Linked DNA regions of Caenorhabditis elegans. The protein of the gene in region 1 interacts with the protein of each later gene in a pairwise test. Each region holds a gene or a part of one and is shown in the gene's direction. Other genes may lie near its edges.

Region 1 (13,541 bases):
TTTTCATAGAAAGTTTGAAATTTCAGGAACTTTTACATTGGAAGTTCAAAATTTCACACATTTTAACATAGGAAAATTGAAATTTCAGGAATTTTTTACATTGGAATTTGAAAAGTTCACACATTTTTACATAGGAAATTCAAAATTTCGGACATTTTAGCATTGGAAATTTAAATATTCAGATATTTTTACTTTGGAAGTTCAAAATTTCACACATTTTAACATAGGAAAATTGAAATTTCAGGAATTTTTATATAGGAAATTCAAAATTCCAGACAGTTTTTTGTAGAAAAATCAAAATTTCGAACATTTTTTCATAGAAAGTTTGAAATTTCAGGAACTTTTACATTGGCAATTCAGAATTCATGATTTTTCACATAGGAATTTAAAAAGTTTAGGACTTTTTTTTATAGGAAAATCGAAATTTCAAGCATTTTTGCATTGAAAATTCAAAATTTCAGACTTTTTTTTAATAGGAAATTCAAAACTCCAACCATTTTAACATTGAAAATGCAAAATTTCGAACGGTTTTAAATGTGAAAATGAGATTTTCAGACATTTCTAGAGGGAAAATTCATATTTTAAAATATATTTATTTCAATAAAAACCCCCATATTTATTCCAGCGCCGAGCAACATCAAACGGCGGCTCAACAACCGAAGACAGCAGCGTCTACTCTGCAGACGAACGGAGCTCCCCTCCGTTAGCCGGTAATTCGACATGTTCTGTGTCCACGTCATCAGACAGTACACCCGACGAGTGTCCTTTGCATGGTTCGAGAAGCTTCTCGAAAATTTCTGCTCTAAAAATTCAAAGTTCGCCCAGTCCGTCAAGCTCGTTTTCGCGGTTTTTATCGCTGCGGCGAACGGCGAAGCCCAGCTTGTTACAGGGGGCTTATACAAATCCGAATGTTCGGAAAATGATTGATTATCACTATAATTGTAGTGATTAGGTGATCAAAGTGGTCAAAAAATTAAAAATTTCTCAAAACTTTTATTTGTATATCAGAAATATTATTTGTATTGCACGAATTTTATTTTTTATGTGCCGTATTTCCAAAAGCTTATATCTTGGTTAGTTGGGATTTTACCTGAAAACTTTCAATTAACAAAATGCTTATTTTTTAATTTTCTACATTTTGGTAGTTGAAAATTTGTAAAAATATCAAAAATGAGCCGAAAAATGGCAAAGATCGACGGTATCTTGGTTAGTTTTAGACTTATTTAAAAATTGTCAACTGCTAGCATATTCCTTATAAAATTTTCTATATTTTGGTATTAGAAAAATTCGAAAAATCTATAAAATGAGTTTAAAAACGGTAAAATTAGCAATTTGATGTAGCATCTCTTTATCAGCTTATATCTTTTTTACTTTTGAAGTTATCAAAAAATTGTCAACTACCAAAATCTTTATCAGCTATTTTTCTATACTTTCCCAGTTAAAATTCTCTTAAAATTCTAAAAATAAACCGAGATATAAGGCTTAAAAGGAAATACGGTATATTTCTATGTGTGTCCCGCTGTGCTTGTGTTTCGGGTCCGTCATTTCTATATTTTTGTGTTTTTATGTTTTTGTCTGTTCATACTTGTCCATGTCTCTGTCTTGATGTCCTATGTTGAAGAAAAATGAAATATTTGTGCATTTTAAACATTTTTTGAAATTTTTGTCCAACTGGCTCAGTGCGATTTTCGCCGACTGCCGAGCAGAAGACCGGGGTTCGAGTCCCCGCGGTGGATTAAATTTTTTTCAAGCTTGTTTTAGAGGAATTCTAACATTTTGAACTCGAATTTTAATATTTTGAAGCTGAAAAATATTTGCAAAATGTTCTAATTTGAGATTTCAAAAAAAAAAATTAAAATCATTTTTGTTGTTGTTCTTGTCATAATTTTCTGTCTATTTTTTAGTTCTTCACCTCTTTATCATAACTAATTTTACTAAAACAGGTACAAATGAGGACGTAGATCACCTGCCGCCAACATGCTCCTCATCTGACGATCATGACGTCATTTCTCCAGACTTTAGTGCAAAAAATCCGCTTTTAAGGTCTCGTAACGACTTTATGGGCGGTTCTGTGAGAAGTCCGAGGAGATATGGAAATGATCATGACGGGCATATTTATAGTAAGTTTTGGGGGGAAAAAATCGAATCTTCAGACAAAATTTCAAATTTGAAAAAAAAATTCCTAAATTTTTGCTCAATTTTTTTTGTTGCTCATTTTCCCCCATTTTCAGCATCTCCATTCCTGCCGCCACGTGTGCCCATCCGCAACTCCCCGATGACGTCATCACTCAGGTCCCGCCCACCGCCCCCGCCTTACAACCGCAGCCCCGCCCACAAAATTGAGCAAAATTCTTCGTTTTTTGAGCCAATTGCTCATTCGACACCAAATTCGTCAATTTTGGAGGAAAGAAGGGTTGTGGGGGAAGGAGAAAAAAGGGAACTAGTTAGAGATAAGGTAAGATAAGATTTTAGAGGAAAAATTGGGAAAAAATGGATTTTTGTGGGGGGTAAAGTGAAGAAATTTGCATTAGAAACTGCCTGAAACATAATCTTGAACTTTTTTGAAAATAATTAGGCTTAGGTCTAGGCCTAGGCTTAGGCTTAGGCTTAATCTCAGGCTTAGGCTTAGGCTTAGTCTCAGGTTTAGGCTTAGGCTTAGGCTTAGGTCTAGGCATAAGTTTAGGCTTAGGCGTAGACTTAGGGTTAGGCTTAGGCTTAGGCTTAGGCGTAGCCTCAGGCTTAGGCATGGACTTAGGCGTAGCCTCAGGCTTAGGCTTGAGCTTAGGCTTAGGCTTAGGCTTAGGCTTAGGATTAAGCTTAGGCTAAGGCTTAGGCTCAGACTTAGGCCCAGGCTCAGGCTCAGACTTAGGCTTAGACTTATGCTTAGGATTAAGCTTAGGATTAAGCTTAGGCTAAGGCTTAGACTTGAGCGAAGCTGGGGAGTTGAGAAAAAAAAAAAATTCCTATAAATTCCTAAAAATACAGATAAAGAATTGGGTCAAAAAATCGGCCGAAAAAAGACAAAAAATTTTAAAAAAATTTTAAAAGTTTGTCAGGGTTGGAGAATTGAACTTTCAGTTTTATTGAATTTAAATTGGCAAAAAAAATTGTATTTTTAATTTTCTGAATTTTTCACTATTTCAGTAAAACCATTTATTTTTGCGAAACTTTCCAGAAAAAAATAACTTTAAACTTCTTCCCAACATTTTTCATTTTTCAGGAAGAACGCATCGACAAGACGCTCAGCTACTACGAAAATGTAAATTTACCCCAAAACCCTCCGGATTTGCCGGAAAATAGTGATCTGAAACCGAATGAATCGACAATTTGGCACGAATATGGATGTGTATAATTTCTGTTTTTTTTTGAATTTTTTTCTCATAGAAGAGCTATTTATATGTATTGTAAAGCCGGTTTTAACGATTTTTAATGGTTTTTTTTTTTGAAAAATTTTTTCACCTCATTTTATGATTTTGTGCTCATTACAGTTATGTTTTTAATAAAATATTCAAATGTTTGAATAATTTTTTTTGTAATTGATTGTACGAAAATAGCAATAAAACTGGAAAAAAATTAAATTAAAGCTTCAATTTTGACTAAACTTCCAATTTTTTTTAATTTTTAGTCTCGCCACGAAAATTCTGCAGTAACCCTCTCAATTTTATGATAACACCTAAAAATTTGATAATTTTGAATTCAGCTAGCTTAGAGCTTTGATTTAAGTATAATCATGACCAGGTTTGGAGCATTTTGAGATTTTCTCATTTGCTGCTCCTTTAAATTTAAATTTTCGCTGCGAGATCCGAAAATTTTAAATCTAATGGATTATAGGCATTATTATACATTTTGAAATTGGAAAAACATGGAAAATGCAAATTTTCATATAAAAATGAGTTTTTCGGAAAAAAATTGAAAAAAAAAATTTTTTGAAAAAAAGTCAAAAAATTTTTTTTTTGACAACAAACCAAAAATGGTTAATTTTTGCTGTCTAGTGTGTTTCAATGTACTCCGACACGTCCAAAAGACCAGTTTTCCCGTCTATTTGTCATCATACTATGCCGTCTGCGTATCCATAGTTCCCGTTGGCCCATGCATGCTGATTCCAACCGTCTGCGTCTCTAGCCCCTCGTACACTATTTCCTCGAATTTTATTAGAATGGCAGACAACCAGGTGTACAACGTACTAGGCGTGTAGTTCTGGTGAACTTGTGATTTTTTATCGATTTTTTTTGGGTTTTCCAGGTGGAAAACTTGTTTTTTTTTAAATTTGCGAGCTTCATGTATTTTTGAGCACTATTTTCTGTAGAATTTTTCATTTGAAAGCATCATTTTCATTTTTCCAACATTTTTTCTTTTTCTTCAAATTCTTTTTTCCAACATTTTTTTATTTTCATTTTTCTTGTATTTGTGACAAATATATATAAGAAATTACTACTTTTTTCAATGAAAAATTCGTTTTTGAATGAAAAAATCCTTAAAATGGATTTTTGAAACTTCAAAATGTTTAAAAATTTTCAATTTCTTTCAAATTTGTGATGTTATAAATTTTTACAATTTTTTTGAAACTCCAAAATTTACAAATTTGCAAAAAATTTCATTTTTTCCGAATTTTCCGAGCTTCCGAAATCCATATTTTTGAAATACTTTTTGAAAAAAATTCAAATTTTTAGAAATTCGAATTTTTTAAGAAGGCTTAATGCCCAAAAAAAGTTTAGGCCTAAGCCTAAGCCTAACAAGGGAAGTCTTTGAGGGGGTCCGTAGATTTGGGGTTCTCATGCTAAAATTCCTACAGAAGAGTGTTAGTTATGATCTCTCCAAAAAATTTAGCTGCCCCGGTCAAGTTTCAGCAAAGTTATGACGTTTTGAAATTTCAGTTAAAAACACCATTGAAATCCACTGTCTTACCATGCAATCCACGCAAATCTCAGCCTGCGTGACCACCGAAAATGTGACACCCACCACATTGAGTTGAAAAATGTCTTCGGTGGCCGAGTTGGGAGTGCGCGCGTCTGATAAGATTTAAGCTTTGGTTCGATACCTTCTATTTTTGAAATATTTTTGTAAGTTGAATAAAGTTGTAAAACAACTCATTCAAACATTTTTGCGCATTTTTAAAGTGATTTTATTCTTATTCGGGAACCTAGAATCATTGTCCGCACTTTTTGGAAATTTTTATTTTTTTCATTTTTGCTCAAAATTTCTTAATCAACTCCAAGCAAAAAAATCAAAAAATTTCATTTTTCTAAACAATTATGAAATTGCTATGCTGTTGTTTAGAAATGTATGAAACGTACATTACACAAGTTTTAACTCTCTATTCGCAAGTAAACCGTCGAAATGATCTACATCTCACGAACTTTGTGCAAAATATTTAACCAACTTTGAAGTTGCATAACTTCGTTGAGATAAATTATTTTGAAATATGATCAACTAACAAAATGTTTGTTGAATAACAGTAAACAAAGTTTTAGTTATAAACTTTTTGATACCTTCAGCCACCAAAAAGTTGTGACCGTTTTCCAAAACACAATGTTAATAGAAAAACTAGCCAAATGCCAACCTTGTTTTCTTCTTTGTAGCTGGTATCAAAAAGTTTATAACTATATATATAACTAACACTCTTCTGTAGGAATTTTAGCATGAGAACCCCAAATCTACGGACCCCCTCAAAGACTTCCCTTGTAAGCATAAGCCTAAGCCTATACCTAAGACTAAGCCTAAGCCTAATCCTAAGCCTAACCCTAAGTTTAAGAATTAGCCGACGTCTAAGCCTAAGCCTAAGCCTAAATCTAGGTCTAAGCCTTAGCCTAAGCCTAAACCTAAACCTAAACCTAAGCCTGAAGCCTAAGCCAAAAATTCCAAGTTTTTTGAATTTTTCAAATTTTTGGAAATTTCTAATTTTTGGAGAAATTCAACTAAATAATTTTTTTTAACTTTTACAAGCTTCAGTTTTTACTCAATTTGTACCTTATTTATTGCCTTATTTTCAACGAATTTTAGTTTTTCAGCAAAAAAAATGTCTGCTGGACGAGGCGAGAAGCCGCCGTGCAGTATTTGTGGAGAAGTTGGTAATGGTGTGCATTTTGGAGCAGAAGCCTGTCGGTAAGCTGCTGCCAAATTTTCAAAGATTTCAGCCGAAAAAACGTGCATTTTTTTTTCAAAAATTTCAATAATTTTCAGAGCCTGCGCAGCATTTTTCCGCCGTTCAGTTGCCCTCAACAAATTGTACAGATGCCGTGGAGATGGAAATTGTGATATTCTTTCAAGTAGGCCGTTTTCCGTGAAAACTATCGATTTTTAGCCAAAATTTCAGCTATCAGATGCATGTGCCGAGCTTGTCGATTTGCAAAATGTATGGCAGTTGGGATGAAGCGAGAAGGTGAGTTTTAAGCCAATTTCTGAAATTTTCACCAAAAAATTGTTTAGAAAATTAGAAAAAGTAATCTAAAATTCGAAAATTATTCCTAAAAAATCGAAAAATTTGAATTGCAACAGCTTGTGTAGATTTACGGGAGTCTGTGTAATTTACGGAAATTTTTGTAAATTTACGGGAGTGTTTTGTAGATTTACGAAAGCTTTCATAAACTTACGGAAGCTTGTGTAGATTTACAGAAATGTTTCCTGTAGATTTACGGAAGCTGGTGTAGATTTACGGATGCTTGTGTAGATATGGGATAATTTTTCTTATATTTATAATCTAATTTTATTTTTTCAGCCGTTCAAAAATACCGTGACGCTTACGGAAAACGTGGCTCTGACGTCGAATCGCCGGGCAGCTCATCAGTTTCACTTCCGAATCAAGGCGACGGATTTGGCCCTCCTGGTGGTTTCAACCCGAATTCCACGTTCGACAGTGTCGAGGAATGCGGAATGCCAATTTTGACCATGTTGAGCCAGAATTACGAAAAACTGCAAAGTGTCCGCCGCGTCGTACATCACGATCAGGGCAGCAGTGTGTTTCAGGTACAGTTATCTGAAAAAAAAAATGAAAAAATTTGGAGTTTTTCATGTGAATTTGTACATAAGCTTGTGTAGATTTAGGGAGTTTTTCGTGTAGGTTTACGTGAGTTATTGTAGATTTACGGGAGCTTTTAGTGTAGATTTACGAGAGTTGGTGTGGATTTACGAGAGTTTTTAGTGTAGGTTTACAGGTGTCAGTGTAGATTTACGGGAGTTTTTATGTAGGTTTACGAGAGTTAGTGAAGATTTACGAGAGTATTTAATGTAGGTTTACAGGAGTCAGTGTAGATTTATGGGGGCTTTTGATGTATAGTTACGAAAGTTAGTGTAGATTTACGGAATCTTCTGATGTGAATATACGAGAGTTCGTGTAACTTTACGGGAACTTTTAATGTGGATTTACGAGCGTTTTTAGTGTAGATTTACGAGAGTTTTCAGTGCAGATTTTTTACAGCAGTCCGTGTAGATTTACGTGAGTCAGTGTAGATTTACGGAGCCGTTGATGTAGATTTACAAAAGTTCATGTAGATTTACAGGAGTTTTTGATGTAGATTTACTGAGCTACGTAAAATTCAATTTTTTTTTTCCAGATGCGAACCCCAAAAGCGGTGAGCTACAAAGAGGCGAATATTGTCAGCTCGAAGGAATGTGATCTGGTGGCCGACTGGATTCTCAACTCGTACCCCGGATTCGCAGATTTACACAAAGATCAGAAAGTAGGCCGGAAAGCCTGAAATTTCAGTTTTATCGAAAGAATTCAATATTTTCAGATAATTTTGTTCCGCAATTTTTTCTTGCCATTCGTGATTCTCCAGGGCGGTCATTTTGCGTGTATTCATAGTAAGTTTTTGGTTTTTTTTTGTTGAAAATTTGAAAACTGTTTTTCAATTTACAATTTCAGACCGTAGTGACGTCATAATTCTAGCGTCAGGTGACTACATCGACTGCTCGCACCCGGAGACGTTCTACTACGACCCAGACGGCCGCCAGCTCATGTCTTCAGAGGATGCAGTCAGAATGTTTGCATCGAGTTTCAGTATTTACCGGCGAAATGTCACAGATCCGATGCTCCGGGATAATGTGGACAGTTTTGAGTTTTTCGCGCTTTGCTCATTGGTTTTATTTGATACTGGTAACGTTTTTTTTTTTGGGATAAGTTTAGCTGATAATAAGTATTTTAGGCCTGGAAGGACAATCTGAGGAGTGTATTCGGGTCTCGCGACGAATTCGAGAGGCGATTCAGCGAGAGATACTGTACCACTATCGGAATGTGAGACATATTGAGGACCCGTCGATGAGGCTGGCGAATTTACTGTCTTTGTTGCCAGCGTTGCAGGTGAGTTTTGAAATTGTAAAGGAAAAAAAAATCTAAGCGGCCACAAAAAATTTCAGACCTGTAGCACAAATGTGAGCAAAGTTACGCGTCTTCAAAGTTTTCACCATGCGTCGCGTGTCGCGTCGCGGTCGACGTTGGAACTTTGAAAAGCTGTAACTTTGCTCAAAATGGTCGTAGAGCTATGAAATTTTGGGTGTATGTTTTTGAAATGAGCATTGACCTTTGGCAAAATTTTTGTGCCTTGACGCATTTCTAGTGCTTTGACGCAATTCTAGTGCCTTGACGCATTTCTAGTGCCTTGGCGCAATTCTTGTGCCTTGACTCAATTATAGTGTCTTGACGCATTTCTAGTGCCTTGGCGCAATTCTTGTGCCTTGACGCAATTATAGTGTATTGACGCAATTCTAGTGCCTTGACGCATTTCTAGTGCCTTGACGCATTTCTAGTGCCTTGACGCAATTCTAGTGCCTTGACGCAATTCTTGTGCCTTTACGCATTTCTAGTGTCTTGACGCAATTCTTGTGCCTTGACGCATTTCTAGTGCCTTGACGCAATTCTTGTGCCTTGGCGCAATTCTAGTGACTGGACGCAATTCTAGTGCCTTGACGCAATTCTAGTGCCTTGACGCATTTCTAGTGCCTTGACGCATTTCTAGTGCCTTGACGCATTTCTTGTGCCTTGGCGCAATTCTAGTGCCTTGACGCAGTTCTAGTGCCTTGACGCATTTCTAGTGCCTTGACGCAATTCTTGTGCCTTGGCGCAATTCTAGTGCCTTGACGCAGTTCTAGTGCCTTGACGCAATTCTTGTGCTTTGGCCCAATTCTAGTGCCTTGACGCAGTTCTAGTGCCTTGACTCTATGCCTTGACGCAATTCTAGTTGCCAAACGCGTTAAAATTTACGGATTTCCCTACGGAATTTTCAAATTGAGAAGCTTCGAAGCTTGTGCAAAAAGTCTTTTGATCGGAACATTCCACTGCGCTATACGGGCAAAATTCTCAAAAACTACCAAAAATGCTCAAAATTGTGCAAATTTCAGTTCAATCTGTTTTCAGAGAGCCACCCGCCGATTCCAGGAAGACGTAGAAATTTCACACGTCTTCAATGTCTACTCAGTGGACGCGAAGTTCTACGAAATGTGTAATGGCCGATTCTAATACAGTACTACCTACAGAAAAAAAATGCCAAGAATTTTTTTAAATTGTATATAATCCTGAAAAAAAAGTCAAAAAATGTGCCTGAAACTGTGATCAAAATCTAGTTTTTTATTGTTGTAGAAATTAACTTTGTGATTTGATTTGATTTGTTTTTTTTTTTGCAAATATTTTATTTCTCATAAACGTTATCAAATTTGAATTTTCTTCTGTCTACAATTGCAATTGCTGGTTTTTTCAATCCACTACACGTGAAAAAATCTAAAAATGCCCTCCTAATCGGCGGAATGCACATCATACTGACCAGTGGCACCATAAAAATGCAGGAGAACGAGAACATGTACCCGTAGGCGCAGAAATAGTTAACTGAACGGATACCTGAAAAATTGAAAAATTGTGTCGTTTTTTAGCAAAAAAAAATAGCGGAAAAAATAGCGGAAAAAATTGTTGAAAAATTTTTTTTTTTTTTGAAATTTTTTTTTTAATTTTCCCACCTGCCAGGAGTACTTTCCACTGCCGCATTGTTAGCGGAAATGACAATATAAATTCAGTGACACTTTGCAATAAAATCACAAAAGAATAATTGAGAGACAGGTGCTTTGTAGATGTACACTCTGAAAATTCGGCGGAAATTTCAAAAAAAAAACCCCCAAAAAATCCCACTTTTAAACAAGAACTTATCGATAACTTGCACGATAACCAGCGTGAAATTTGCCAAAATTGCAAAAATCAGCAGCGTATTGTTGAAAGACATCTGAAAATCCAAGAAAATGTCAAAAATTTCAAGAAAAAACTCACAGAAATCAGAAAAACGTCAGGTGAAGCTATCCACTGAGCACAAACATCATTAATAGTGACGTCACCAATTGCCAGGTGTCCCAGTGTGAAGAAAAGCTGAGAATAATCAACTTTTATATGGAAAATTAAAAAAAAATTTTTTTTAAGTCAAAACCCGATTAAATTCGACAAAAGATTAAGCCTCATTCCAAAAAATGGGCGGAGCATATCCGGACCATTTTATGGGCGTGGTTTATTTTGTACTACCATTTCTTTTTTAGCAAAAAGGAAAATTTTTGTAAAAGTGCAATTTTCACTAGAAAATGCGAAAACTTCCAAGCCACGCCTGTAAAAGTGGGTGAAGCTTAATTTCCTAGACTCCACCCATTTTGTGGGCGGGGTTTGTCGTGTACCGCCAATATTATGAAGTACAAGGAATTTCGAAAACACTGCAAAATTTTGACTGAAAATGATTTTAAAAAAACATGAAAATTTGTAGCCACGCCCCAAAAATAGGCGGGCTGAATTCTACAGGCTCCGCCCATTTTTGGGCGTGGCCTAAAGTGTACCATACTTTTTTCGAAGAACTGCAAAAAAAAAATCACAGAAAAAATGCTAATACTACCAGGCAGAACTAGAAAGGTTTGGTTTTTCAATTCACTCCCCAAAAGTGGGCGGGGCTTTATCGGCACGCCCACTTTTTTGATTTTTTTGTGGGCGTGGCTACAAACGTTTTTATTTTTCCATAAAAACCAGTTTTTAGAAAAATGTGACCAAAACGGTTCGAATTTTTATTGAAAAATGGGCCATGCTCACCAAAAAGTGGGCGTGGCCTATTTTTCCATTAACTTTCCAAAAATTTACCTCAACAAACGTGATGATCACTTGAATCACCACTAAATTAAACACTTTCAGCTTTTTCTTCAAAAAAACCAGACAAATATGATCAATAGCGATTGGTACAGTAATCAGGCCGGCCGACTGGAAACAGGCGAGCACAAAGTGACGGAGCAACGAGCAATGGAGCACGGATGGGTACTCGGGAGCTTTTCCGAATAGTAGGTACATTGTCTGCCACGTAGAGAGTAGGTAGAATGGCCAGTAGAGGATTTGCGCCGAGAATGTGGCGAAGGATATGTAGTTCTGGAAAATGAGGGATTGAAATTGGCATAACTTTGGAACCGGGTTAAGGAAAAAATTTTTGATGTGTTTTCTGAAAGATGAAGCTTTGTTAAGGTATTTGGTAAATTTTCAGGAAAATCGATAAATTTGTCGGGGAGAAATTTAAGTTTAAATTTGAAAAAGTGAGTTTTTCACTGAAAAATTCAAATTTTGAATGGTTTTTTCTGCAAATTTGAGTTATTTAAAAAAAAAATTGAAATGCTCATATTCTTGTAAAGTTATTAAAAAATTTCCAAAAAAAATTTTTTTTTTGAAAATTCCAAATTTTTTCCAAATTCTAGTACATATATTCAATTAACTCACCGCATACTTTAACATTAACCGCTTCCTCCTCCATAAAAATGCACAAAGAGCAATACTAGCCACCAGGGAGACTGTGTCCACTAGCCATTCGGACAGTAGGCGAGTTGAGTGTTCAATAGCCGTATAAGTTGGCTCGAACACTTCATCCCAGCCGGTTTCGTCGGTGGAGCGACTTTTGTGAATTCTGGCGTCGGTGGACTTGTATACAAATGGGAAAAGATCGAAAAGTGAGGAGTTCATCGGGAAAATTTCTGAAAAATGTGTTGAAAAGTTCGTTTCAATGGATTTTTCGCGTTTTGGGAGTTGAAAAATCGTGATTTTCACATAGAAAAACCTTTAGACCAGCTCCAGGGGTCGAACCTGCAACCTATTTATCCAAGCTCAAGCCTCTTACCCACTGCGCCATGCTGCTGGACGCGCCGCGCAGCTTTAGGAGGCTGTGCGCGGGAGTTCACGTGGCGCAGTGGTTAAGAGGCTTGACTATGGAGCAACAGGCCACAGGTTCAAACCCCGGAGAGGACAATAGGTTTTTGCAGGTGGTGATTTCGAATTTTTTGGTCTTAAATTGGGAAAATATAGTTTAAAACTGGAGTTTTCGAAAAGTTTCCTACAAAATCTCCATTTTTTCTGCCAAATATTAAAATTTCAAAATTGTAAAATCAATAAAATCACAATTTCAAACAATTAAAAACAAACCGAACAGAGTAAAATTCGCAATGAACAGTAAAAGTGTACAGAGAGATTAGCCAATAATCCGACAGTGCCTACGCGTTTTGTAGGGGAAAATGGAAAAAAAAATCGATCTTTTGGTTTATGAACAATTTATTAAACCAGGAAGGGAAACAAAAAAAATTAAATTTGAAAAAAAAAATTTCGAAAATTTTTTTTTTTTTAATTTTTTTCTTTCAAAATCAATATCATATCATTTTGTTATTTATGTTTCCGACTTTTTTGTCCATTTTCCACTAATCGATCAGTAGGCACCATATACTCATCGTTGTTCTCCTGGTACCTTACAGGTGGCTGGTTTCCTGAAAAATTGCCGATTTTTTGCAGGAATTTCCGGAACATTCTCACCCAAATATTGAGCCATTTGTGGAATCTGACACTGACAATCATCTGTCGCATCATTAATCGGTGTCATTCCATGGGGGCACTTGAAGAAGGCCTGGAGGTCCTCTACGGCCCGAGAGCTGATCTCACAGCCGTCGTGGTAGCACCTATCACAGCCAACTTGCTTTCTGCAACATTTTAATTGCGAAAATTGAAATCTCCGTAAAATTTCCAAAATTTTGAGACCCATATTGGCTATGTTACGAGCACTTTGCGATTTTGGGCTCGAAACGACCTGAAACGGCCTAAAACGGCCTGAGGTGGTTTTTTAAATGATATTGTCATAATCGTAAAATTTTTTACGTAAAAATCCAAGCAGTTTTGCTAAAATCGCAAAAATTAACTCTCACATCTCCAAAGCGGCCTGTTTCCGGCCTGAAACAGCCTGAAACGGCCCACACCTGACTTGAATTTCAATTTTTCTGCACTGTTCATTGTAAGTCTTATTTTTTCAAAATGAAAAATGTCTAACTTTATTTTATAAAATTCTGCACAAGCCATGTTCTGGAAAAAAAAGGTTTAGGGCCCAAAACGGCCTGAAACAGTCTATATCGGCCTGAACACGCAATTTTTGGCTTTTTCGTTAGAGATTGTTTTTTTGAATGTCTGATTTTTTCATTAAGTCAGCCAAGTTTCAAAAAACCCAATCATTCGAGCCCGAAACGGCCTGAAACGGCCTATTCCGGCCTGAAACTCAAATTTTTTGGAAAATAGTCAA
Region 2 (10,869 bases), on another chromosome or scaffold:
TCATTTTTTTGAATGCCTGACAAAAAGCCTTTGTATGTATTGCAATAACACTAAATTCTGAGAATGCGTATTATCAAAAAATATAAATCGCACTGAATTCTCTGTGAAAATACAATTGTAGGAGGAGCGTAAATAAAAAATAAATAAAAAACAAAAGTCACGTGGCCACGGCCCGGCGAAAGAGACGTGGCCGCGAGAGCTGCGCCGGCTAGGCCACCGCCTCCTATGGTTAAGATTTTTGAACGAATAAACATTTTTAATTTGACTGCTAAGCTCATTTATCTTCGTTTTTTCTCGTTTTTTCTCATTTTTATCGATAAAAATATTTTTTTTGTTGCAGAAAATCACAAAACCGCGGCAAAACAGCACTCAACCGCCAACTGGAAGGAGGAAAATTCGAAAAAAGTGAGTTTTTTTTGTCTAGTGAAAAAATCCTATAGAATTTGACATTAAAAATGCCGTCATAGCATTTGTCGTGATGTCAGCTTTCGAAAAAGTACAAAAAAACGAACTTTCATGTCGAAAAAATCGAGAAAAATAGAAAAATGTGAAAAAAATGCACTACGGAGATTTTCGTGTCTGGAAAATCCCAACATTCCTATAGAATTTCGATATTTTTTTGACGTTTTCACGTTGTACTGGACGAGATCTTTCTAAAAACACCAAAAAATCGAGGCCCCATGTTCAAAAAGTTGACTTTTTTCAAAAAGAAAATTTCAGTAATACTAAAATTTTTAAAAATTATTTTTCGAAAAACTGTATAGAATTTCGATATTTTTTTGACATTTTCACGTACTACTGGACGAGATCTTTCTAAAAACATCAAAAAACCGATAGTCTATGATCAAAAAGTTGACTTTTTTTCGAAAAGAAAATTTCATATCAAATTCGAAATCAAATTTGTCACGAAGCTGATGTTGGACCTTTCATTAAAAAATTTTTCCAGGATTTTATACTCCGATTATTCATCTTTTGATGACGTGATGGTTGATGTTTGGAATCGTTCATCGACTTCATCGTTCAACGGGAAGCACCTTGAAACGGCATAAATCGCTGCTGGAATGCAATTAACCTTGGTACTTTCCGATTCATTATCCAGGTAACAGTGGATGGCAATACTTCAATATGAGTCAAGTGTACAATATTCATAATATGGTTAGTTTCCAATAAGATATTTGTAACTTAAAAATCCGAATTTTTTTAGAATCAACCCGATTGCAAATGGATCGCGCTTCCACCGCCGCTGCCACATAAAGATGCCCGAATAGAACTCGTATAAGCCCCGATTTGGACTGACAGTTGCACCACCTATGGCAGAAGTCGAAAAAGAAAGTGAGTTGACAGTTATTTGAAAACATGAAATGAAAATAAAAATTGCAGATCGAAGAAGAGGGAGGTCATGAAACGGGCGAAGCAAGTGTTCATCAAGCGCAATATTTCTGTGAGAACAATGCAGAGGCAACGACAAGTGGCATGCTACTCCCCTGTTATGGAAGAAGAGGCTCTTGAAGTTCGTCAACCGAAGATGACTGGTCAAGAAGAAAAGCTAAAAAGGAAATAATCTCTCTTATCGCAATTTCTCACTGATCACTTCGGATTAGGTCTTTTTACAATCTTTTAAATTTTTATTGACTATCTTTTACATTTTTATTATGTATTTACATTGTTATTTTTATATTAATAAACGAATTTTTAATAATAACACGCGTTTTTCAATAATCAAATGTGAGATTATACGATTTAGGGAATTTCAGGGCTCTAAAACTCGAAAAAATTGGCCAAAATCGAGAAACATTGCGAAAAACTGTTTAAAGTATCGATTTTCTTCAATATCAGCAACATACAATCCTTTAAAATTATTATTTTTTGTAAATTCGATAAAAATTCATTTATTTTTCACAATTTCTGCCCGAAAATTGCCGAAATAACCAGCGTTTCTATAACTAAGAAAGTGTCGTCAATTAAAATGCCGCGTCCGCAAAATGTCGTATGAAACTTTTCGCTGAGTATCAAACGTTGAATATTCAGTCAGCTAAATTTTACTACGGTAGAGATTTTACAGCCACGTACGGTTCGCCGGGCCGTGGTGGCCAGTGCGATTTATATTTTTTGATAATATTGCGCAACATATTTGACGCGCAAAATATTTCTTAGCGAAAACTATAGTAATTCTTTAAATGACTACTGTAGTGCTGGTGACAATTTACGGAAATAATGGATTAATCGATAATACGAAAAAAAAAACTAAAGAAAATTGAATATCGATGTCACAATTTTCATTCCAAAATAGAGCCCGTAAATCGACACAATCACTACTGTTCTCATTGAAAGAGTTACTGTGGGTTTCGCTACGAGATATTCATCGCGCCAAATATGTTGCACAATCCGCAATCTCAGAATTAAGTGTTCCGGTTACGATAGCTGAAGTTGCCAGAGCTCGAAGACGTTAATCTGGTGACCTTACCAAGTCAACACATTAAAATAGTGGTTTTTTTGAATTTTCAGAAAAAAAAAGTAGCCAAAACATTCTGGAAAAAGAGAAGCAAAACTACTTCGAAGAGAAAAATAAAAAAAAGCTAGGATTCCATAAAGAGTTGTAAAAACCTGGATGATCCTGAAACCTGAAAAAAATCCTAAAACTTATTGAAATGACTTCCAATTCCATGGTTTTCGTTGGTTTATGTACATATACCATTCATCTTAACATTGCTTCAATGCAGTTGCAGTTTCCAAAAATGAATGATTCAAATGTTTAAATAGGAAACAATATATTTTAAAAGTTTACAGCTTTATTTAAAAATCATTAACCAAAAAATATTATGAATAAGTACTGTCTTTAGCCAGTGACTCGTGCCAGGAAATTGAACCCGTAAGACCCTCATCGTCAACTGTTGATCTCCTTCACCAAACGTAGAGGCGACAGCACCTATCTTGCCAGAATGATCGCTCCATATGATGACCATAGGCGCAATCATTCTCTCAAGATAATATAGAAGGAGGGTAAATGCATTAAAAATTTTAAAAACATTGATTGAAAATAGTATTCCAAAACGGCAGCAATAATAGAAACTTTAGAAACTGAATCAATTCCAGTGTATAGAAAAACTTACAATTTAAACATTTTATAAATTGAAATTTTTTTTTGGAATATTGTTGCCAAAAAATGTGCCAAGATAACCAAATATCATAGTAGAACGTTTCAAAAAATTTGAAACTAATTTTGTAACCCTTTTTGGAATTCGCCGATTGTTTCAAATAAAAATTGTAAGGATTCGAGCATGCGAAATTACTACAGTTTTCTAAAAATGTGGCTAAAACTCAATAACCTGCCATTTTTATTGCCAATAAAAAATTTTCAAAACATGTTACTATGATATTTGGACATCTTGGTGGCATATATGTGGTTTTTAACAGTTTCCCCACTGCTACTCCACCTTTAAGTCCTGGGAACATTTCCGGCAAATCGGCAAATTGCCGGAACTGAAATTTCTGGCAAATCGGCAACTTACCGGAATTGAAAATTTCCGGCAAATCGGCAAACCCGCAAATTTGCCGATTTGCCGGAATTGAAATTTCCGGCAAATCGGCAAACCTGCAAATTGCCGATTTGCCGGAAAAACGGCACTTTGCCGAAATTTAAATTTCCGGCAAATCGGCAAACCTGCAAATAGCCGATATGCCGGAAAAACGGCACTTTGCCGGAACTGAATTTTCTGGCAAATCGGCAAATTGCCGAAATTGAAATTTCCGGCAAATCGAAAAACCTGCAAATTGCTGATTTGCCGGAAAAACGGCACTTTGCCGAAATTTAAATTTCCGGCAAATTGGCAAACCTGCAAATAGCCGATTTGTCGTAAAAACGGCACTTTGCCGGAACTGAAATTTCCGGCAAATCGGCAAACCTGCAAATTGCCGTTTTGCCGGAAAAACGGCACTTTGCCGAAATGTAAATTTCCGGCAAATCGGCAATCCTGCAAATTGCCGGAAAAACGGCACTTTGCCGAAATTTAAATTTCCGGCAAATCGGCAAACCTGCAAATTGCCGGAAAAACGGGACTTTGCCGGAATTGAAATTTCTGGCAAATCGGCAAACCTGCAAATTGCCGGAAAAAAGGCACTTTGCCGGAATTTAAATTTCCGGCAAATCGGCAAACCTGCGAATTGCCTGAATTGAAATCTCCGGCAAATTGGCAAATTGCCGAGTTGCCGGAATTAAAATTGCCGGTGAATTGCCGCGTGGAAAAAGTAGCTGAAAAATGTTTAAAATGGCAGGACCTGATAATATCGCATGTGAATTTTTTTATTCAGAGATCGTGTGTCAAAAAAAACTAACATCAACCTAACCAACACGAGATCGGCTACTAATCAGTAAGTGATAACTTTTGAAACTTATTTTAATTGAAAAAAAAAACCATTTTCAAGTTTTCATATTCTAATGCTTATAGAAGAGACAAGTATCAAGAATCGAGGAAGCGATCTGCTAATTATGTATCAATTCAAAGCTCACCGGATCTCCCCATCAAGAAAAATCTACTAACGTCAATCGCGCAACAAGAAATAAGAAGCCATCGAAGACATTGGGACAGTACATGGACGGCGAAGAGTTACGAGAGGATTTAAAAGAAAAAGGGAAAACTATGGATAACGATCTGAAAAAAAGTTTGAAGGAAGCACCTAGTGAGAGTTACTGTTACGTTCTAATAAACCCATACGTTCTGGACAAAGACGTGAGGGAAGTAGATCTGGCTACGTTCCTCTCGTCAATATTCTACGTGGGCAAAGGAAAAGGGGAAAGAGCAATGGCCTACTTCAAGGATGCTTGCGGGAACATTCAAGGAAGCCGCAAGCTTACTACAATTGACCAGGCTTGGAACAAAAAAGGATTTGTTTATAAACACATAATTTGTACGTTTAGATAAGAAAAATCTATAAATTGAATTGCTTTTTAGGGAGACCAATTATCGAAAATCTAGCACTCGCCAGGGAAGCTGCTATGATATTTTTTTTCAAAAATTTGGCTGGAAAATCGAACTTTACTAACAAATACGTAAGTTAAATTAATTGGCTAAAAAAGATTCTAATATAGTAAAATTTTCAGAACGGCAGTTTCAAAGGAGAGTCGGCGTTTTGGAGCAGGGAAGAGAAATGCAACTACGGCGTATACCTGCTAGAAACGTAAGTTTGAAAACAAAATATCAATAATTTAACGTCTAAATTTTAGAATACACCGTTCAATCCAAACCAATGGCTGTGAGACTGTCAAAAAAGAAGATGTTGCTCCAAGAGCCGCGATCCAACAAAGTCCTCGACTCTAAACTTTTAATTTAATTGTTATTTTTAAATTCCCTCATTCACATTACCCAACTTCACTATGCTACTGACTATTTAAAATTGCTCAAAATTCAAATATTCCACTTGAATAAACCTTATTATGAGAAATTAATATTTGACCTTTTTTATTTGAAAATAAACTGTTCCCGCCGTTTTCTTTATTTTTTTGCATTGTCGTCATATCGCGCGCAAAGTCCGCAGTGACACCCGCGTGGTGTTTGCGTACCCCGCAATTGTCATCCTCACAATTTTCGAACGCGACTCCCGATTTCTTCGTTTTTTGCTGTAAATTTCGGATATTTCCGGTCAAAAATTTATTAAAATATCTGGATAATGGTAATTATCAATGTCGTATTGTGTTTTTATCGATTTTCTCAGTTGTTTCCACGAAATTTCTGTTAATTTTCACCGAAATCTGTTTCAGAGAGGAATGGAGCGATTCCTGCGACTCGGAGGTCTTGGTGGAAACCTTGGAACGGTAATTGCATTCTGTTTCGATAGAAAATCATCTAAAATTTCGAATATTTCCAGTTCGGAGCCAATCCACAGGACTCGAATCAAGTCGACACCTCGGAAACCGTCTACATTTCTTCGCTGGCGTTGCTGAAGATGCTCAAACACGGAAGAGCCGGAGTTCCCATGGAAGTGATGGGGCTGATGCTTGGAGAATTCGTCGACGACTACACCGTCAATGTGATCGACGTTTTCGCTATGCCACAGTCTGGAACCGTGAGTTTTCGTCAAAAATTGAATTTTTAAAAAAGATAATTTATTATTTTCATTACAGGGAGTCTCAGTCGAAGCGGTCGATCCAGTATTCCAGGCGAAGATGCTCGACATGCTCAAACAGACCGGAAGACCCGAGATGGTCGTCGGATGGTACCATTCCCATCCAGGATTCGGATGTTGGCTCTCCGGCGTCGACATCAACACTCAGCAGTCGTTTGAAGCGCTTTCCGACAGAGCTGTCGCCGTTGTCGTCGACCCGATTCAATCTGTGAAGGGAAAGGTTGTGATCGACGCGTTCCGTACGATCAACCCACAATCGATGGCTTTAAATCAAGAACCACGTCAAACTACCAGTAATTTGGGTCATTTGCAGAAGCCGAGCATTCAGGTTGGGGAAATTATCGGTTTTTAGTGAACATTTCAATAATTTTCGGTTTTTTTTTCAGGCCCTAATCCACGGACTCAATCGTCACTACTACTCCATCCCAATCGCCTACAGAACCCACGACCTTGAACAGAAGATGCTCTTGAATCTTAACAAGCTCTCATGGATGGACGCAGTCAGCGTCGAAAACTACTCAAAATGCGGTGAACAGAACAAGGAGCACCTCAAGGCGATGCTCAAGCTCGCCAAGAACTACAAGAAGGCGTTGGAGGACGAGAAGAACATGACGGATCAGGAGCTCGCGATCAAGAACGTCGGAAAGATGGATCCGAAGCGGCATATTGCTGATGAAGTGAGCAAGATGCTCAACGACAATATTGTGCAAAGTTTGGCCGGTATGATGGCGACGACTTCATTGCAATAATTTTTAAATCAATACTCATTTGCTTATTTTTTTATTATTTTCTCAAAAATTCCCAATTTCCTCGTTCTCTCCCCGTCTTTTTGTGTATTTTTCCCCATAATTTATTTTGAAATCATCCCAGTTCGGTGTTGGAAAACATGAATCTTCCCCGCCTTTAATCGATTTATTGTTTATGCGTTAATTTAGTCCATTTCGCTAACAACTGAGGCAGCAGCATCACATTCAGATTGTTCATATCGACCGATGGTGTGTAGTCGTTGATGAGGAGATATGGAACTTCGAGGATCGGATTCGGTCGGGTGCTCATCGTCTTTTGAGCAGCTTCGCGCTGGAGTTGAACGCCACGTGGACCATCGTAGCATTGTCTGAAATTGTGAAAGATACGGTCTCGACACGACAATCTTTTTTTTTAATTCAAAAAAGTTTCGCCTTTAAAGATTACTGTAGTTTCACTTTTAGGAATTTTCTATAAATTTTTCATTTGATTTTCACCAAAACATAATAAAAAAATATTAAAAATCGATAGAAATTCCAAAAAGTGAAATTACAGTAGTCTTTAAAAGCGCACAGCTTTCCGCGTTTAACACAATTTTGTCGTGTCGAGACCGGGTACCCCGTTTTTTAGCTCAAGATCGGGAAAACTTTGAACATTTTATTCGAAAATTTGCAGAAAACTAGTTTAATTATTATTATCATTATTAGTTTTAGGAAATTATTATTAGAAAACTAGTTTAAAAAACAGTAAACGCGCTCCACGGCCAATCGAAAGCGCTCCGCCTCCGAACCATGGGTCTCGTTAGGAATTCAGCGGCAATACCGAAAAAAATGGAGCGCGTTTACATTTTTTAAATTCATTTTTCAAATGAATTTCCGAGTTTATTTACCAAAATACTGGAAGATAATTAGTTTTTTTCGAAAAAATGCAGAAAAATCGTATTTAAAAGGATAATAAAAGCGTGTGGCAAAATTGCAAAAAGAAAATCGGCAAAGTGCCGGTTTGCCGATTTGCCGGAAATTTTCGATTCCGGAAATTTGCCGGAAATTTTCAATTCCGGTAAGTTGGCGGTTTGCCGATTTGCCGGAAATTTTCAATTCCGGTAAGTTGCCAATTTGCCGGAAAATTAAATTCCGGCAATTTGCCGGTTTGCAGATTTGCCGGAAATTTGCAATTCCGACATTTTGCCGGAAATTGCAATTCCGACAATTTGCCGGAAATTTTCAATGCCGGCAATATGCCCGTTTGCCGAATGCCGGAAGTTTTCGATTCCGGTAATTTGTCAATTTGCCGGATAATTTAAACTCCGGAATTTTGCCGATTTTCCGGCCCCCGATTTGCCGGAAATTTTCAATGCCGGCAAGTTGCCGGTTTACCGATTTGCCGTAAAAGTAGTTTTCGGAATAAATACCTAATCTGTCGATATTGGCTCCGAATGAACGCGGAGCACGTCTGCATCGCGTGTTCGACTCCATAGTGTTGAATGTTACGTTCGAAACAGACGATGAAGGGCAACGCTCCTTTGACCTGAAATCAATCACTTTTGATAAATAGAGAGAGAGATTGATCGGCGCTCATCTGTGTCTGTGTTTTGAGCCCCCCATCAATTGCTAACCTTCAAAATATCAATGACACAAGATTGAAGGCGATTCGCGTCGCACTCTTTTTGTCCGTGATTGCACGAGAATGAGCCGTCCTGTGCAAATTTGACGATTTTCAGAATTTTCAGAACAAAAAGAAATTACCCGCATTATCCTAGAGTTTCCCCATGGCACTAGCTCAAGAATCAACTGGCCCTGGAACTGATTGAACACACTGCCCAACTGATTTGCGATGAATCTGAACTTTATAAATTCCAGTCAAATCGATTTTCCTATGGCCTACTTTTGACAATATGGGCACAAGGCCTCATAGATCAAGGTGATCTTGATCGGCTGCCGCCGGTGACGGAGACCATCGCATTGCCGTTGGACCCCACACTGTTGGGCAGACTGCGGGCTGTCACACCTGGAAAGATTTTTTTCTGGATTTTGCTAATTTGGGGTCTTGGCACGATCGAAATTTTTTTGAGCAGAGCACAGCATGAGCCTAAGTCTAAGCCTAAGCTGAGCTTAAGCCAAAGCCTAAGCCTCAGCTTAAGCCTATGCCTCAACCTAAGCTTTACTCTAAGCCTAAGCTTAAGCCCCAGTCTAAGCCCCAGCCTAAGCCTATGCCTAAGCCTAAGCCTAAGCCTATTTCATTTTGTTAAAAGCATTTTCCCCCGCATTTTCCTCTGAAAAAACAACAAAAAGCACTTACCACAAGTCTGGTGGAATGTCACAAATCTGATGCGTCGGCTGATTGAACACAGAAGCGTGTGGAACCGACGGATACGCCGCCTGATAGGCTTTTATCGCATCTGGAAATAGCTTTGCTGGAATATTTATATTTTTTGACCTTGTGTCGATTTACGCAGATTGTGCACTCCTGGAGGAGATGGAGATCAAAAGATTTTGGCTTTTTCGGTCAAATACTTTGTTTGATTTTCCACGGGGAGTACACTAGATTCGTAAATCCACACACATACAGTCGCTGATATCTTCCATATTCAAAAATATTTTTTGGAAGTATGACGTCAACGGAATTGCACATGTGACGTCATCATTCCGATGAAGAGACTACCGTAGTGCGTATTCTTACTTGGACTAGGATAATTATTGTAGGGGTACTGTTGTTGCTGCTGCTGCTGAGACGCCTGTTTTTGTTGGTGAGCATGTTGCTGCTGTTGCTGCTGCTGATGGTAGTGTTGCTGGTGAGCATTGTAATTATGATTCTGGTAGTTTTGCGGGTACGATGGCTGATGCTGGCGGTATTGGGATTCTGTATTCTGAAAATGGGGAAAAAAGTTGCGCGTCAAATATGGTGTATTGTGGTGGGTTGCCCTCGCTGACCACCCGGAAGCAAAACACGTGTGTCTGGAAGGCCGGTGCCATCGTCCTAAAGTCCCATTACAACGCGAAACACTTTTCATTCTTATTAGTTCCTGTCCACCGCCTTACTCTCAATTTCTCTCAAAAGTTTAGTGCAGTTAAATAAATGAGCTTCTTGCCACCTCTGACCAGCCAGCTGAGAGCAGTGAGCCCCTCAGAGCAAAGATTTTTTGCGACCTTTGAGAACATTGGAAATGGAGAACCAAAAAATTAGGTAGGCATACCTCGTGCCTGCATCTCGCCTACCGCCTGAGTAGACACGAGGCAGGCCTTGAAGGCATGCAAAAAATGCCAAAATTTAGAAAGTTGGCAGATATGTTCAAGTCGAAAATTATCATTTTCAAAATTTTCATTTCATTTTAAATTTTGAAGAAGTTTTGTGTACTGAAATTTTTTGAAAATCGACTGTTTTTGGAAACCAATAAAAACAACTGAAAACTGAAGATTTAAGGCAAGGTTTTGCGGTAAATTTGGTTGCCGAATTTGCAAAAAAATGCAGAGAATTTTTTGTTCCAAAATTCGATTTTTAAAAGTTTTCCAGAAGCTCCAAAAGTGGCAATTTTGAAAAATCGCCTAAATTATTAAAATTGCAAAAATTGGCAATTTTTGAGTTCAAAACCTTGAGTTCCCAAGCTGAAAATCCAGAAAAATTCCGATTTTGAACAACAACATTCTAATTTTTCAAATCAAACCTCCAAAATTGTCTAGAATTTCAAGGAATATTCCTTTTTTAGCAAATTTTTGCAAAAAAGGCGTCCTTGATTTTTATTTTGGAAAATGTCTAAAATACCATAAGTTGCCAAAAAAAATCACTGAAAAATTTCAGATAATCTTGGAAAAATGAACAGAATTCGTTTGGAAGTTTTGAAAATTTTCGGAAATTTTGTATCATTTTTTTTCACAATCAGAATTTCAGAAAATTTTAGAGCTAAGAAATAGCTTGGACTGCCAAAAATTGTCGATTGTTCAAAACTTGCCCGGAAAATTACAAAAAAAAATTGCCAAAATGCCAATACATTTTTTAAAGTCTGTCCCT

Evidence for each region.
Region 2: the proteins of nhr-70 (region 1) and rpn-11 interact in a two-hybrid assay, tested with the Caenorhabditis elegans proteins (2 studies listed by BioGRID).

Annotation. Positions count from the first base shown.
Region 1 is NC_003283.11:18,610,593-18,624,133, forward strand, and holds nhr-70 (Nuclear Hormone Receptor family), read left to right. Parts: upstream 1-5,994; 5' UTR 5,995-6,016; coding exon 6,017-6,102; intron 6,103-6,180; coding exon 6,181-6,266; intron 6,267-6,313; coding exon 6,314-6,379; intron 6,380-6,715; coding exon 6,716-6,963; intron 6,964-7,550; coding exon 7,551-7,676; intron 7,677-7,730; coding exon 7,731-7,800; intron 7,801-7,861; coding exon 7,862-8,092; intron 8,093-8,141; coding exon 8,142-8,296; intron 8,297-9,349; coding exon 9,350-9,451; 3' UTR 9,452-9,620; downstream 9,621-13,541. Other genes in the region: grdn-1 (Girdin homolog), read left to right, coding at 626-710, 1,944-2,120, 2,232-2,455, 3,221-3,352; Y69H2.1 (Serpentine Receptor, class V), read right to left, coding at 9,621-9,826, 9,943-10,062, 10,112-10,202, 10,247-10,342, 11,090-11,368, 11,711-11,950; Y69H2.15 (BTB domain-containing protein), read right to left, coding at 12,641-12,741, 12,788-12,951.
Region 2 is NC_003280.10:4,039,217-4,050,085, reverse strand, and holds rpn-11 (26S proteasome non-ATPase regulatory subunit 14), read left to right. Parts: upstream 1-5,755; 5' UTR 5,756-5,761; coding exon 5,762-5,809; intron 5,810-5,862; coding exon 5,863-6,060; intron 6,061-6,118; coding exon 6,119-6,448; intron 6,449-6,506; coding exon 6,507-6,869; 3' UTR 6,870-7,024; downstream 7,025-10,869. Other genes in the region: K07D4.2 (GIY-YIG domain-containing protein), read left to right, coding at 4,590-4,905, 4,950-5,047, 5,099-5,175, 5,222-5,315; pqn-48 (Prion-like-(Q/N-rich)-domain-bearing protein), read right to left, coding at 7,033-7,234, 8,276-8,391, 8,480-8,560, 8,610-8,703, 8,749-8,871, 9,163-9,262, 9,544-9,730. UniProt on the Caenorhabditis elegans protein: Metalloprotease component of the 26S proteasome that specifically cleaves 'Lys-63'-linked polyubiquitin chains. The 26S proteasome is involved in the ATP-dependent degradation of ubiquitinated proteins.